3 linked regions of the Rattus norvegicus genome follow. The protein of the gene in region 2 interacts with the protein of the main gene of each other region in a biochemical or structural test. Links are inferred from orthologs where the notes say so. Each region holds a gene or a part of one and is shown on either strand. Other genes may lie near its edges. The genes, in order: Tor1aip2, Tor1a and Tor1aip1.

Evidence for each region.
Region 1: the proteins of Tor1a (region 2) and Tor1aip2 form a complex in vitro, tested with the Homo sapiens proteins (4 studies listed by BioGRID and IntAct, with this or other methods). The link is inferred for Rattus norvegicus from reciprocal best matches to the Homo sapiens genes TOR1A and TOR1AIP2.
Region 3: the proteins of Tor1a (region 2) and Tor1aip1 form a complex in vitro, tested with the Homo sapiens proteins (2 studies listed by BioGRID and IntAct). The link is inferred for Rattus norvegicus from reciprocal best matches to the Homo sapiens genes TOR1A and TOR1AIP1.

The regions. Positions count from the first base shown.
Region 1 is NC_086031.1:70,778,471-70,783,853, reverse strand, and holds the start of Tor1aip2 (torsin-1A-interacting protein 2), read right to left. Parts: upstream 3,585-5,383; 5' UTR 3,487-3,584; intron 3,414-3,486; exon of another isoform or gene 3,354-3,413; intron 1-3,353. UniProt on the Homo sapiens protein: Required for endoplasmic reticulum integrity. Regulates the distribution of TOR1A between the endoplasmic reticulum and the nuclear envelope as well as induces TOR1A, TOR1B and TOR3A ATPase activity.
Region 2 is NC_086021.1:34,651,788-34,657,232, forward strand, and holds the start of Tor1a (torsin-1A precursor), read right to left. Parts: upstream 3,631-5,445; 5' UTR 3,593-3,630; coding exon 3,412-3,592; intron 3,060-3,411; coding exon 2,794-3,059; intron 1-2,793. UniProt on the Homo sapiens protein: Protein with chaperone functions important for the control of protein folding, processing, stability and localization as well as for the reduction of misfolded protein aggregates.
Region 3 is NC_086031.1:70,772,172-70,777,702, reverse strand, and holds the start of Tor1aip1 (torsin-1A-interacting protein 1), read left to right. Parts: upstream 1-1,579; 5' UTR 1,580-1,767; coding exon 1,768-2,251; intron 2,252-2,700; exon of another isoform or gene 2,701-3,073; intron 3,074-3,142; exon of another isoform or gene 3,143-3,298; intron 3,299-3,965; coding exon 3,966-4,040; intron 4,041-5,531. UniProt on the Homo sapiens protein: Required for nuclear membrane integrity. Induces TOR1A and TOR1B ATPase activity and is required for their location on the nuclear membrane. Binds to A- and B-type lamins. Possible role in membrane attachment and assembly of the nuclear lamina.

The sequences.
Region 1 (5,383 bases), on a different chromosome or scaffold from region 2:
CTTCTCAACGCCGACCCCTATCCTTCCAATAAGCTTTTCAAAATCCAAGATCTGAACATCCACTTCTATTGGGGAGGCACCATCAAAGTAACAATTAAGACAATAACTTCTGTTGTTAAACCAGGACCTCATCATGTTGCTCTGGTGGTCCCTAAACCTAAAATCTTGCTCTCTTAGCTTACTAAGTAGCTAGTAACAAAGGTTGGTGCTACTGGACCCAGTTTACCACCATTCCTTCACTTCTTTACTATACTCAACTAATCAGCCAAGAATCATTCCACTTCCTGGGAGTTTGTTTGAACTACAAATTTAGACACACCATCCCTGAGACCCATTAGACCTGACTCTCTTAAAAACCCATGGGTCGGGGGCTGGAGAGATGGCTCAGCAGTTAAGAGCACCGACTGTTCTTCTCAAGGTCCTGAGTTCAATTCCCAGCAACCACATGGTGGCTCACAACCATCTGTAATGGGGTTGGGTGTGTCTGAGGACAGCTACAGTGTGCTTATATACATTAAGTAAATAAATAAATCTTAAAAAAAACAAAAACAAACAAACAAACAAACAAACAAAAAAAAACCCCATGGGTCTCATGCCAGATGACCCTCTGAGACAGGGTTAAGTTGCTGAATCTGGAGCTAGCCTGAGGTTACAAGGCAAGCCTGCAGTTACAAGCCACACCTGACTTTTTACTCCTACACTGGGATCTAAACTCAGGTCCCACAAAGTTTAACATTTAAAGAAAACATTTCTCTTTAAAGAAAAGTTAGTTCCCTTTACTATAAAAATACCATGCTTATTACTCTTTTTGAGAAAACAACTTAGAAGTGGGTAGGCGGGCCAGGCCTTCAATCCAGCACTCAGCAGACACAGGAGAATCTCTGAGTTGGAGGCCAGCCTGACCTATGGACAGGTTCCAGGACAGCTAGGGCTACACAGAGAAACCCCGTCCTAAAAAAATAAAATAAAAATCTGCACCACGCCCTGAGTCTAAATTGTATTTTTATCTTCTTCTTCTTTTATTTCCCTATAAAATGTTAAAATGGTGGGCCAAATAGTCAAAGCATAAACACCATTTCTTTTGTGCAGAGAAGTTTGAAGTCAATCCCTAGGATGAATGTAGAATGGCCCGACATCCACAGAAAGTCTACAAATACTGACCGACGGCAATCTCCTTTTCTGCCTGAACCCGAATGGCTGCTTCTGGGCTAACTAGAATTCCATCTTGATGCTGCAGCTGTTCGTAACAACCAGTGCAATGCCACCACCTAGACGGTGGAAAGCAGCACGACACTTAAATGAGAGCAGCATGTAGCCCTACTGAAGCACACAGAAAGGTCTCAAACACTGGCGCTCTTAAGTGGACCTGCAATACTTAAAGCCCTGCTGTTTTGTTCTATCAAGATAGAAAGAGGCAAATCCAGGTAGCTCTGTTAGACCTATCTACACCTTCAGAGTGCAAAAGCTAACATTTTAAATTTGGTTTTGTCAAGTACTAAAGCAGAGTTACTAAAAAGCAATACGATTTGACCTGTAGAAGTTACAAAATTACAGATGAACTTTTTTCATTTCAATCTGGGTTACCAAAATCACATTCTATATATAATCCTTCTAATATTTTATACAGGGGAAAAAACCCAATTAATAATAGCTGTTTTTACTTCTGTACATAAATGATTTCATTAAATATTCTAAATGACCCTACAGTTCTCCACTTTGCTAAGGAAACAGGCTCAGAAGTAGTTATCTGCCAAAGTCCTACGATCCTCAGATAGTACCGGAAGTCCGATCAGTTATGACTCCAAAGTCCACGTATACAGTCACTGTTCAAGATACCCTTACTGACAAACGCTTGTCTTACTGTGCAAAGCTTATGATAAAATATGAGAACTACACTGGAAAACCACTTGTAGGTCAATTGACAAGGGTGTTGGAAACTCAGACCCACGAGGGTGTGGGCTGCAGAAAGCCAAGTGTGTGTGTGCTTTTCATAGTGGCCTTGAAGCTTAATAGGAAACTGAAAGGCAGACAAAGCTTCTCTAAACCAATTTCCCCTTGAGAAATTTAAGGGGCACTTTAGTTCCTTGGGATGGTTTACAATAACTACGTGCAGGACGCAATGCACAACTACAACAGTCAAGTGCTGGTGGCACAACTCTCTATTGAGGAGGCAGAGGCTTGTGCTCTCTGAGGTCACATTAAACTGGCTTAATAGAGGGGTCCAGGGAGGCCAGGGATATAGAATACAGAGATCCTACCTCAGAAAAATAAACTAAAAAAAAAAACCCACAAAACAAGCAAACTAACCAAAAACCCTACTCCTCAAGTGACCAGCTAAATTCTGGTTACTTGTTTATTACAGAAGCTCTAGGTGTGGTACCTCTACATTAGGAGGGAAACTACTAAAAAAAAAAAAAGAGTAAATGAGTCAGCTAAGGTCACATGATAACTGCAACAAACCTCCTTATCTGGGGGTGGACTCTGCATCCAGATCAACAACACTACTTAAGGGCCTCAAAGTTTTCATACACAACCTCAGGTTGTTTTTTTTAAGCTATTCAAAAGGCTTCCTAGAACGTTTTTTATTTTTAGTTTGTCTACTGCGGAAGTTCTTTACTTAAATTATTTTCTATTTGCAAAGGACTTATACAGTATATAAAACTGGTAGTCCTGGGTCCTCGCTGCACGCAGCCTTTAAAAAAACAACAAAAAACCCAACAAAACCCTCTTATACATTTAAATAAGCGGTTTTTAAACCTAAGGACAGGCACTTGGGTGTGGTAGTGCATGCCTTTGATCCCAGCGCTCCAGAGGCAGAGGCAGGAGTTCGGGGCCAGCCAGGGCCAGAAACAGAAACTACCTTCACGGTGGGGGGAGGGGGAGGTAAGGCAAACAAAACAGGCAAATTTAATTAGAAAAGTTAACATCCCTGGATCTATATAAACAAGCATAAAATCTGACAAAGTAGAGACTACCAAAGATTTTGTTCAAAGAAGTTTTTTTGTTTTTTTTAAAAAGCTGGGTATGAAACAGTTGAGTACATAAATAGGTAAGTAAAGTAATTCCGAGTTTCAAAGTTTGTCCATTTCAGCATTACTAGTTACTAACTGAAAAACTTAACTGTTCTATCTTTTAAGGATTAGAAGATTACTGGAATCCTTACGCAGCGAAATAAGAGAAATGAACTCTTACAATAAGAATTCTGGTTTACATTTGAAAACTTTTAAGTAATCTTACCTCTCATCTACAGTCCGTATCAAAAATCTACTCTCACCTTGTTTCGTTTTATGCTTGAAAGATTCCAGGTATGTTTTCTGCACCCTCCCGGAAATTACAGACCCATCCCAACCTACCTCGATTTCTGTTTGTGCCGTAGGGGAGGTGGGGGTGGGGAGGGATCCTTTTTCAAAGACCTTTTGAAAGGAGAAAATAGTAGTTCAGACACTAAAATAATGTTAAAGTTGTGTTTTCGTTTTGCTTACTTACAATTTCCAGCCAGGTTTTAAAATATGGGACAGTCAGGATCAGCGGCGCCACTCGGCTGTCCCTCCTGCTCCACAGCGCTGGTCTGCAACCCCCAGCCGCCACGGCAGAATGTCGCCTGTACCGCCCACGTGACGTGAGCTCCGCAGGGAGGAGCCCGCGGAATGCTGGGATAGGTAGTCCTTTGGCCCCACCTCCCCCAGCTCCTCCCACTAGACTTCCTAGAACGTTAGCACAAGCTTCTGTGCAAGCCTTCCAGCCACAGCCAGCACTATTTCTCAAGGCTGAAGTGACTATGTAAACAGGCTGCAAGACTCTGACCACCTCGTCCCTTATAATAACCTGAAATACAAAGCTTACAAAACCACACGAGGGCAGAAAAGTAAGAGACAGTAAGTGAAGATAGTGGCAAGCACCACTCACTAAGACACGCCTTTGAACCCAGCCTCTTACTCTAACTAGAGGCTATCCTCAAACTGATTGTTTAATCTAAAACTTAGTTTGCGCGTGGGTCAGTGGGGACAAGGCTTCATACCCACGTGAAGTTGTTGTGAGTACCTAAATAGCATGTCTGCTAACAGGCAATAATAGACTAGGTACCAAAAATAGCTCTTATTTTGGGGTTTGGGGGTACAGCCTTCAGTCCCCAGCACTCAGAAGGCAGAGGTGGGCATATCTCCATAAGTTTTACTTTATTGTAAGACAGGATTTAAGTTGACCAGTCTTACCAGGAACTCTTAGAAAACTCTTAAACTCTTAGTTTAAGTCTCAGACTTAAACTCAGCACCCTCTTTCCTGTGCAGGAATTAACAGGCCTGTGCCATCTCTCCAGCCCATCAATTATCTTTTTAAAAAATATTTTACTTATATGTGTATACATGCATCTATGGGAGTTAATGTGAACCATGTTCTTAGAGTTTAAGGAGGCCAGTGGAGGGCATCAGATCACCCAACTGCTGGGGTTACAAGCTATTGTGAGGTACCATATGGGTGCTGGGAGCAATAAGAACAGTTAAGTACTCAAGACTTAGGTAATCAGGCTGGAGAGATGGCTCAGTGGTTAAGAGCACTGACTGCTCTTCCAGAGGTCCTGAGTTCAATTCCCAGCAACCACATGATGGCTCACAACTCTCTGCAATGGGATCTGATGCCCTCTTCTGGTGTGTCTGAAGACAGCTACAGTGTACTTATATATAATAAATAAATCTTTAAAGAAAAAAGTCTTAGGCAATCTCTCTCTAGCCACCCTCCACGCTCTTTCAATAATTAAAAGGAGATTTTTTAAATGTTTTGCCAGGCATGGCATCAGTGACATATATCTGTAATCCTAGCACTTGGGAGGTTGGAGAAAGAGAACCAGGAGGTTTAGGCCAGTCTAGGCTACATTAGTCCCTGTTTCAAAAAGCTCTTCCCATTAAAATACTTTCATTAAAAACGGCTGAAGAGCAATGACTGTTCTTACAGAGGATGGAGGTTTGGTTCTCAGCACACACATGCTGGCTAACAACTGTCTGTAACTCCAATTCTAGGAGATCCAATGCCCTTCTCTGGCCTCCACTGGCACCAGGCGCATACTTGGTACACTGGTATACACGCAGGCAAAACAGTTATACACAATTTTCTTTTTAATTTAAAAGTTGCTTAATTTAGAAAGTCAATATAAAAAGCACAGAATTTCTAGGTATAACTGTTAGCTACACATACCAGTTAATACTTATCAGTAACTTCAATTTCATTTTTTGTGCATCTGTCCTCTCTAACATATGGCAAAATCTCTAAGTAAAATTCTTCATTCTGCCACATTTCTCTAATTCCCAAAGAAACTGCTTTAAGTTCAAAGCGCAGATCACCACACTCATGGCCCAGAAAAATCTCTTATAATACTGGAAATGAATCTACT
Region 2 (5,445 bases):
GGGCTTTGCCACCCACGCCCAAGTTCTCTGAAATAATGACCCTGAGACTCAAGTATAGAGGGGTACCCAGGCCCAGGGCCTCAGCTCTGTTCCCCAACTAGCTCATGTCTCAATGATTCCGCTTTACTCTATGAGTGCCATGCGGCAAGACCTCTCCTTCAGTTTCATGTGTCTCCCTCCAGCTGAGGTCTGGGGCGAATTCCCTGTGCTCCCAACTCAGTTTCTCCGTCCCACCTCCTTAATCCTGCCTCAGCTCATTGGCCTGTCAGCTTTTTATTGACAGGTGATGCTTCCACACACTGCACAAAAGATTCCCTCTACATTACAGAGATCTCAGTGGGGACAATTCTACCAGCTTTGGGTTTCTCTGTTTTTGTGCAGTTTCCCCAGAGCCTCGCTGGTGTTAAGCAAGCCCAGACCCTCAGAACAACTTTACCCCCTCAGGACAATGGCTGGGCTTCTGGAGCACTGTGCTGTGAACATTACAAACATACGCCTTTGGCCTCACAAGCACTTCCGGTATGGACAGCATCATACCCATGCCACAGGGAGGACCCTGAGGCACAGAGCACTTCAGCAGCTTGCCTGAGACAAGAGAATTGGGCCAGGCAGGGTGGGATCTCAGTCTAGCTCTGCCCTATGCCAGAGCTCCAGGTTTGTGACTTTACACTAAAACACACTGAGGCTGTGCCAGTCAGGCCCCAGCTATCCTCACGTATATCGTGGGCATGACAGCCTCTTGGTGAGAGGCAGAAACCCACAAACCCACCATCGCCTCAGCCCTTCCTCTGCAGTCCAGCCTGGGGAAGCACCAATTCAGTCACAGCGCTACACAAGGCTTCCTTAGGGAGTCTGAGCTCGAGTGCTCAGCATTCTGGGAGCGGTGTGGCGAGGCTTTCCTGACGCATTTGGAGACAGATCCCAAGGAACATCACCAGAGACAGACCTATGGCCTCCATCAACACACAGGCTCAGAAGCACACCAAACACAAAATTAAAAAAAAACAAACCAAATGAAAATGATGGTGATGACAGAGTTCAGGGCTGCCCAGGCTACAACCGTGAGCACAGGCAGCTGCCTCAAGAACAAAGCAAACAAACAAACCCACCTTATTGGTATACGGTTGTTTGGTGGGCAGATGCTAAAGAATGCAATCAGGGCCTCAGTGACCCAAAGCCAGCCCTTAGCAAACCCCAGCCAGGTTCTTACAAGATCATCAAGGGGAGACACATAGACCTCTTTAAGCATCTTCCTCAGAAAACTGAGCCCCAATTCTACCTAACATGTGGGTATTTCCACCCACCCTCCTCCTCCTCAAGTGAGCCGGGAGAGCAGGCAGCTATGTATCTTCCTAAAGGACACACGGGAAGCTGTATTGTACATCAGCTTGGGGTTTTCTATCGGCTCCATAACCAGCTTACAGGTTTCCATTTGTATCTAATGTAAGCAGCCACTCGGCAAGCATGGACCACCTCCCTCCTCCAGTAGCTGTTCTCAACCTGCCGGTGGGCCGAGACCCTGGGAGGCTCACTTATCAGCTACCCGCATATCAGATGTTTACATTAAGGTTCATAACAGCAAAATTACAGTTATGAAGTAACACTGAAATCCTTCTATGAGGAACTGAATTAAAGGGTCACAGCATTGGGAAGGTTGAGAAACCTCCGTCCGTAGAGGAACCTTCAGAGACCTCGAGTGGCTGGCTAACACCATGTGGTCAGGGAACATTTCCATAAACTCACTCAGTTGTTAGAATCCAACAGAGAAGGTTTGCCCAGTCTCCTGTCCCAATCTACCAGAGTAACAGACTTCGTGCCAGCGCCCACTACAGCGAGACACTCTTCCAAGCATTGCTCCTTGAACATTTAGAATCTCCTCCCCAAAGCCACTGAGGAAATGATGCCGGGCCCCTACTTTCCTTGCTTCCTCCACCTGCTGCCCTCTCCATTTCTGTCTTCAAAGGGAGGCTTACTATGCAGCCCAGACTAACCTCAAACATGTGATCCTCCTGCCTCAGCCTGCTGGGAATACAGGTGTGTAGGAAAACACCCAGCTGACCTCAGGCACCGAGATTAAACGACCCGCACAAAGCCACACAGATTCAACAACGACGCTCAACAGAAAGGGGAGTGCGCGAACACAGGTGAGGGTGAAACACCATTTTTAAACAGAGTGTCCCTTCATAGGTTATGTGACAGCCCCAACTGCGCAGCTGTAGGAAAGGGCAGGACCTGAATTCAGGTGTGAGCCCGTCAAAGTTAAACTCCAATAGCAGGTTGCAACAGCTGAGTCAAAACAAACTTAGGTCTCCTTTTCACAATGAGGGGAGGGCGGCGACTCCTAAAGACCATGGAGTTGATTGTGACCCCACTTCCACAGCCAAGTGTTACCTTACTGAGCGTTGGTGGTTGGCGGTCACTCGTCTAATTGCTCTGTGTATATCAAACCCTTTGTAACTTACATATCCATCCCCACCGCAGCGGGCCGGGCAGGGTGGGGGTGGGATGGGGTGGAGATATTTAATCCAAAACTTCACACACTCTGGGCAAGTGTTCTACCCTGAGCTACCCCCAGCCCTTGATAGTTCCCTTTGAAACACAGGCTATCCTATCAGCTGCCATTCCTCCCACGGATATGACCACGGCCAGTTCTGTGCACACCTTTTAAAGAGGAATTGACATACTGAGCCATATCGAGGCTCACTCACTGACGTGGAATTCCCACATCCCAGCCCACAACAGAGAAACCCCAATCCCGGGTCATCTACGAAGGCGGCCAATTAATGCTCTTGCCTTATACAGGGTGATGTTAGAGGCGTGGGGGAAGTGTAGCGTGGCCACAAACAGGTGTACATAGTCACTGTTCAGTCCACCCTCGTAAATATTCTCTGCGATGATCTTGCTAGCGAAGTTTTTGCCGGTGCCTGTCCACCCGTGCAGGGAGAGGGTGAGGGGCTTCTTGGGCTTCGGGTTGCTTAGGAAACCAGACACGGCGTTTAAGATGACTCTTTTGGCAAGGTGTTGTCCAAAGAGCTTGTTATCCAGATCCTTCTGCAGCGCTGGGAAAAGAAAGATCACTCTGGTCAGGAGGGAAACAAGCTGGCAAAATGCAGCCCCATTTCCAGGCTGTCAAGGCCCGCGGAGCCTGATCTGGAGAGCGCGGAAGGACCCTGGTACTGCGAACTCTGCCCTTTCCTAGGGGTTGGCCTTGAGATGTCTCGGGCTACTGCCAGGCTGCGCCCCAAAGCTAAGCGGAAGAGGCGCCGTGAGGCCGCCCCGGTGAGCTCTGCGCAGGGCTGACATCCTGTCCCTGGCCCCGACCATTCACCTCCCTGGCCTCTGACCAAAGTCTGTCCTGGCCGCGGCGTCATCCTCCTGCCGCAGCATCCCCGCTGCCTGATGCCCACCTACCCTCACGGCTGAGGCTCCGCTTCTGGCCGCAGCACTCGGCGAAGAGGCAGTAGAGGCGAGGATAGGAGATATAGCCGGTGAGTACGCCGGCTAGGGCCAGACCCAGGCTGATGGGCTCCACCGCACGAACCACGCACGGCACCAGCAGCAGCAGGGCCAGAGTGGCCCGGCCCAGCTTCATGCCCGGACCCGCGCACCTTGCGCGTCTCAGCGCCCACCGTTCCCCGCGCACCGCCCAGACTGGTGTTTCCGGTTCCTGTTGGCGGGGCCGCCCTCTTTGTCCCGGGCAGACCGTCTCCCAACGCTAGTGGCTACCATCTTTGTTAAGGGCAAAGTCCTTTCTGCTTCTGAACCTCGACGTTATAGGAATAATATTGACGTTGTAGGAATGAGGTGATGATGACTGTTTGCCCATCCCCATCAAATAAGCGTGTTTTAGAACCATTTTCTTTAATGGTACAGGCATCTACATGCATGTGGCGCTCATAAACTTGTAGGCATACACACATGCATAAATTAAAACGTAAATGAATAATTTTTTTTCTTTTTTCTTTTTTTTCGGAGCTGGGGACCGAACCCAGGGCCTTGAGCTTGCTAGGCAAGCGCTCTACCACTGAGCTAAATCCCCAACCCCAATAATTTTTAAAATGTGAGTATAATATAGTGGGTCCCCAACTTGTTTCCCTATTATTAAAATCTGACATTTGGTCCAGGTGTGGTGGGTGGTGTGCACCTTCCAACACTCTGGGAGGTAGAGGCAGCAGGATGTCTTCGATGTCTGAATTGGAGGCCACCCTGTGGAATTCTAGGAGCAGCTGGGACTCAACAGTGAGACTGAATCTCAAAAAAAAAAAAAAAAAAGGCGTCTGTATATTATCTGTATATTATACTTGTTAAAAATCCACGACTAGGGCTGGAGAGACGGTTCAACAGTTAAAAGCACTGACTACTCTTCCAGCAGTCCTGAGTTCAATTCCCAGCAACCATGTGGTGGCTCACAACCATCTGTAATGGGATCCGATGCCCTCTTCTGGTATGTATGATGGCTACAGTGTCCTCATACATAAAATAAATAAATCTTTTTTTTTTTTTTTGGTTCTTTTTTTCGGAGCTGGGAAAATAAATAAATCTTTAAAAAAAAGAATCCATGACCAGAATTATTAAATAAAGCCCATAGTTCACCCAGTTTCTTGCTTAGGAAACTGTAGCTGAGTTTCCTCACTACTATGGTGGTACTGAGCAGTGTGTAAGGATGATCCTTGTAGGGGTTGGGGATTTAGCTCAGTGGTAGAGCGCTTGCCTAGGAAGCGCAAGGCCCTGGGTTCGGTCCCCAGCTCCGAAAAAAAGAACCAAAACAAAAACAAACAAACAAAAAAAAAGGATGATCCTTGTATTATTCAAATGCTGACTACGGTGCCCGGTGCCCTCGGACCTGGTTGCAATCCTTATTTTGAGAATCTCCTGTCATCAATGTTGTGTAAACATCGCTCCCCAATTATTCCATGATTGGTCAATAAAGGGCTGATCAGCCAATGACAGAGCAGGAGAAAGGGAGGAAGTGAGAATTTAGCTATGAGGTGGGGGAGTCCAGGCAACATCATAATCATAAAAGAACAGCTAGAGCAGAGAAAGCAATAAAATTCAAGTATCTCAGGGCTATCAAGTAGTTAGATTAGTTTAGAGGATTAAAATAAATGAATACTGCTCAGTTATTGTACTTTAAAGCTGTTAAATAATTCTGTCTCAATTATTTGGGAGCTAGTTGGGTTAAGAGAAAGCTGCAACATTTGTAAATTACCACTAAAAGGGAACACGTTAAGCTCTCCACAGTGCTAACTCCTCAGCTTCTCTTGGGTGCTTTTTAAAATGACTTTGAGAGTTTTGAGAAGTACTAGACACTTGGGGAAGGGGAGTTCTGAGAATGAAACCCAGGGCCTCATGCATTGTAGGCAAATGCTCCATGGAGATATGCCTCAGACCTTCTGTTTCTTGTTTGACTTCATTTTAAGATTTCTTTGGGATGGGGGTGGGGGG
Region 3 (5,531 bases), on a different chromosome or scaffold from region 2:
AGGCACTTTACGAAGAAAGCCTTACTGGGAAAGACACAAGTCAGACATTACCAAGAATTAGTTCTTTTCAGCATTTTGTTAAAAAAAAGTCACACATTTTTCAGGATACCGTGAATTTTATTTTTGTTTTTCCTTTAAAAGTTTTTTTTTTTTTTTTTAAAGTGGGACCAAGTGTGGTGGCCCAAACCTTTAATCCTAGCATTTAGGGAAGTAGGCGGATCTCTGTGAGCCTGAGGTCAGTCTGATCTACAGTTCCAGGACAGGAGAGATATATTACATCCCCTTCCCCTTCCCCCTTTTCCCCTTCCCCTTCTCTCTCTCTTACACACACACACACACACACACACACACACACACACACACACACACGTCTTTAAAAAAAGAGGGCATCTGTCTTGTTATGGTTCCTCTAGTTTCTTTGGCTATATTTCTTTGTAGTTAATAAACAATGCTAAATGAAGCTCCAAAAAGGATATATCCTGCCTGACTTGTCATCTAACTCTGTGTTGCTGACCAAATTTATGGACTATTAGTGAAAATTCCAGTAACTAGAAATTTGTCTAAGTTTGAGTAACAGTTTAAGGGCATTATTTAAAATACTGGAAAAGGCAAACACTTTAAATTTTTTCAAAACCACTGGTTAGAAGTGGCTTCCAAATAAAAACTTAAAACCAATTCTTTTAGGGCTGGGGTATAGCTTAATGGTAAAGCACTTGCTTAGTAAGCTTCAGACCCTAGGTTCAGTTCCCAGTATTTGTGGGAGTGGGGGGTGTGTATTCATTTATATATACAAAGTCTTCTAGGAGACACGCTATGTGGTTGGATGTAGGTTTTTCTCAGTAGTAACTCAAGACTTTACAAGTAAACCAACCTTTCTTCTTCAGTTTGTCTAAATTTCGTTACACGCATGTAAGTATGGTACACAGAACTGAAGGTTTTGATCATGTTTTCGTATTCTGTGAATGTAAGAAACTCTAAACAAAATGTAGAGATTATCATATTCAGAATCGAAGTAAAAGATGGCTCTCAAGATTACAGTGCCATCTTTAGTCGGGTACCTGTCCATTTCATACTGTGTCTAAGGCAACATTCAGCCTTCTTTCCCAACAGTGTTGCTGGAGCAGAACTTTCACATAAAAGTTCAGGAATAAGGGCCCATAGGTGAATTAAAAATTTAAACTGGGTAAAAGCAGTTTCATAAAGGTCCTTGAAACTATAATTTTCGCCATGACATGCAAAATTATCTGATCATTTCTCCTCCCAGGGACATTTGAAAAGGAGTGGCCAAAGTAGCAGGGAAACTGCGCAACAGTTTGGGATTAAGAACTGAAGCTTGCCCTTTCCCAGAGCCTCTGGGTGCCAGGACCAGCGCCTCCTGTGGTGGGCAACTGGCCATCAACAGATTAGAACAGGCCACTTGTCCTACCACCTCCTGGTCGCCCCCACCTTCCCCTCCCTCAAGGCCAAGGACAGAGACGTCCTCCTCCCACTTCTCCTCCTCTTTGGTGCCTCCAGCCAGGAGGCGGGAGTGACCCACAGCAGCTGACCCAGCTCGGGCACTGCCTCTTCCACAGCCCTTAAAACACACCATGGGCCCAGAGGCTGGTTTGTGGCACACTAGCGAGGACGCAGGAGGTGGCGCCGGCAACTCTCAACTGCCTCCCTGACCACTGTGACAACCTCCTCGAAGCCATCGCCACCACCTGCAGTGGAATCGAACCGCGGAAAGTCCATCGTCCCTATCGACCAACAGCTACGTAAACAACTATGGCGGGAGAGAGGTGGCGGGCCGAGGGGCTGGGAGAAGGATGGGCCATCTACGTCACACCCAGAGCCCCCATCCGGGAGGGAAGGCGGAGGCTCGCCACTCAAAATGGCGACGGGAGTGACGCGCCTGCGTACGAAACTCATCCGTCGCGCCACGGACGACGGGAAGTGAGGTTTTCAGAAGAGCCGCCAGAAGTGTACGGCGACTTCGAGCCCCGGGCGGCCAAAGAAAGGTCTCCGGGGGAAAGACGAACCCCGCCAGAAAAGTTCCGGTCGGATTCTGCGAAAGAGGAAGTGAGAGAAAGCGCTTACAATCTTCGGTCTCGACAACGGAGGCAGCGGGGACCCCAGGAAGCCGAGGAGATGAAGACGCGGAGGTCTACTCGTCTGGAGCAGCACTCACAGCAGGCGCAGCAGCAGCTGTCACCGGCTACGAGCGGGCGAGGATTACGGGACGCTCAGTCCTTAAGTGAGGACCGCGGAGGTAACAGTCTCGGCTGCCTGCTCGGGAGCGCGCGCGGTGGCGGGCACGGGCGCACGCGGCGTGAGGCGCGCCCCTGTGGAGTCCGGCCCCGCTAGGGTAGTGGTGATGATTCCTTGACCCTTTGGGCTCGCACTCCCGGGCTGAGTCCACCCGGACCTTCAAGAGGGAAGGACGCGCTAATCCGCGCGGAAAGATGGTGGTGCGAAGTGACCCGAGCGGAGGCGGGGAGCTCTGCCCATTCCTGAGCATCAGTTTGGGGGTGTCTACGTCTCTTTTTTTTGTAGACTTTTGCTAAACTAGGCCATTGTCAGGGCTCCTCCAAATTGCTCTGCGCTGTTTCATTTCCGCCCCCTCTGAGGTTTCTACTGAAGCCACTTCCATTTCCTTTTTTTGTATTTTAAATCTCGGGGGCCCCAAGTCCCCTGCTGAAAATTCTGGTTTTAAGTTAACTTTCCAGTCGATTTCTTTTTTTCACCAAGATTGGGAAAACGAGATCTTTTCTAGGCGAACGCTACGAGGAATAGCTAACTTGAATGAATTGACTGTTGATATTACTCCAAGTATATAGTATGGTCTCTGCCATACTTTATCCCAGATTGAAGGCCATCCCTGTAACCTTCAGTAGCTAAACAAATCAAGGCTGAGAAAGTACCGGAACAAAACAAGGCTCTGTTTATTAGGAAAGCTTCTTTTATATGAAGCCCCAAATTCGGACAGGGTGTGTACTGTAGTTTTGGTAAAGCCACAGATGAATCAAATTTCTTCAAGCCACCCTCCCATTCCCTGCTCTCTGAGTCACAGGTGGTTTCCAGTAGGCCCCAGGTAAGTCACCTAATTATGAGGTAAAATTCTGAGGTTTAGACTCACAATGGGATGTCCTTGGTAATAATGGTAGACATCTGATACATCTAAAGAGGAGTGGATTTTCACCTTAGAGCACAGTAAACGGCTTGCAGATTTACCTACTTGCCCTTAAAATCCTGACACACTTGAAGATCTGTTGACTTTAGACTAAACTACGCTTGAGATGTGCACGTTTTTTTGAATGTAACGAGACAGTTTATTTCTTATATATACCAATAGAATTTCTCTTAAGATAGCAAACTTGAAAAAAAGGAACTTGTCATGCATGTATGCCTGCTGGACATTTAGATACTTGGGTTCTGTCTCCTGGGAGGCAATGTAACTATATTTCCTTTTATTGACTTTCCCTCAGAGCCTCCTGCACCTAAATACATTTTACCTTTTACTAAATTTTTGGAGGACTAAAACATTTCTTTTTCCTGCTGATTTTTTTGATTCTGAAACTCATCTTTTTAATTTTCTAAAGTAACATTTTTGTTGTAAAGCAACAATTAGTTTATATTTTGTTTTACTTATATGTGTGTCTGCAGCTGCATGTATCTGATGGCATTTGGTCCCTTGGAGCTGAAGCTACAGAATATTGTAAGCCTTTTGGACTGGTGTGCAGGAATCTTCAAGTTCTCAGAAAGAGCATCAAATGCTCTTTAAGGTTTAAACACTAAACCTTCTCCAGACCTCATTATACTGTATCTTAATAAGATTTCTAATTAGGTTAATTCCCAAGTTTTGAACCTAGAGAAATTGAGTACTTGCATCTCTGTTTATAGATTAGTGTTAAATATGCATACTCTATGCTGTGATCTCTCCCAGCTCATCTAACTTGAATTTTTATCTCTTGTCGTTGCTATAGAGGATGAACCTTCTTCCCAACCTGTTACAAGCCAAACAGTCTCAAAGAAAACTGTCAGGACACCAGAGACTTCAGGTAAGAATAGTTTGTTTTTTTTGTTTTTCTCTTTTCCTGCCAAAGAATCATCAAGAATCATAACTCAAGCTGGATGTGGTGTGACTTTAATCCAAGCACATGGGAGGCAGAGGTAGGCAGATCTCTGTAAGTTCAAGGCGAGCCTGGTCTACAAAGAGAGTTCCAGGATGGCCAGTGCTCTTACAGAGAAATCCTGTCTGAAAAACCATAAATAAATCAATCAATTACAAGAGTTTTGTGAGTCTGTTCGGTTCACTATAGAGCCATGGGGGTACTTCTTAGGACAGAGGAGGGTAAAAACTAAGTGTAAATTCAACTATGTGCTACTTTGTTAATCATCAGAACCTTGCAAGGAGTCTTCTGTCCCCTTAGTAGATGAGAAAACTGAAGCTCAGAGTATCTAAGACTTTTCTAAAATTATGTAATAGACGAGCAAATTAAAAGGCAGGCTTGTCTCTTTTGAAACCTATTCATTTTCCCCAAATGTTCACTTTCAGTCAAGTAATCATTCATAGTGTCACATGGTTGTGTCACAGTGCCCTCTGCTTAGTTGTTTCTGCGATGGTAAAACCCTGGCACAGTGAGTTTCAATTCTGTCAGGCTAAGTACTGTGTTTCTGTGAATCCAGGGTATCAGTCGTAAGGTAGGACAACATCGTTGCTTCTTGTACCACCTAGAAGAGAAGAGATACGGCCAGTTTCCTGGTAATTCATGTTAAGATGCCTTAATTGTATAGTATATGATTTCAGAGATGTTTAAAATGTAATAAAAATTGTCCTAGAAACCCTGTAACAGGGAATTAGGATACATTTAGTAGTTGCTCAAAGTCTGTTTTCCTTGAGTGTGCAGATGCTTATTGTTCACTTGTGGAGCTCAGAGGGAACCTTGTGAAGTAGATTCTCCTCTGTCCTTACATGATTTATGGATATTGAACTCCAGTTGTCAGACTTGGCAGCAAGTGCTTTTACCTACCGAGCCATCCTGTTGGCCTGAGAAAATGAAATTTTATACATAATTTTCTTGACTGAAAACAGCATGTTGAAACGGCTTTATTAAAAGCCCTATACCTTTGAACTCAGAACATCTGAAATGAACATGGCCAGCATTGGTGTTTCATTTAAAATTGGTCTTTCCATTGCTTGGACATTTACAAGATTGAATAGTTAAAGAGTATGTGTTAACTGTTAGGAGGTTGACTCTTAAAAATATATCACAAATTACGTGTGATAGCACATGCCTGTGATCCTGGCACTCGAGAAGCCAAGGCAGGAGGGGTTCTCTGATCTAAAGCCTGTCTATGCTGTGAAGTCAGGAGAAAAAAAATCCAACTTCACACATGGAAGAGATAATCCAATTGATTATATATAATGTATATTTTGGTCCCCCATACCACCCTGCTTTAGCATGCTGAGGATCCAACCCAGGCCTAGTACAGGCTGGAGAAGAGAAGCTACGTCTCTAGTCCCAGAGTTTGGTTGTTAATAGTTTTGT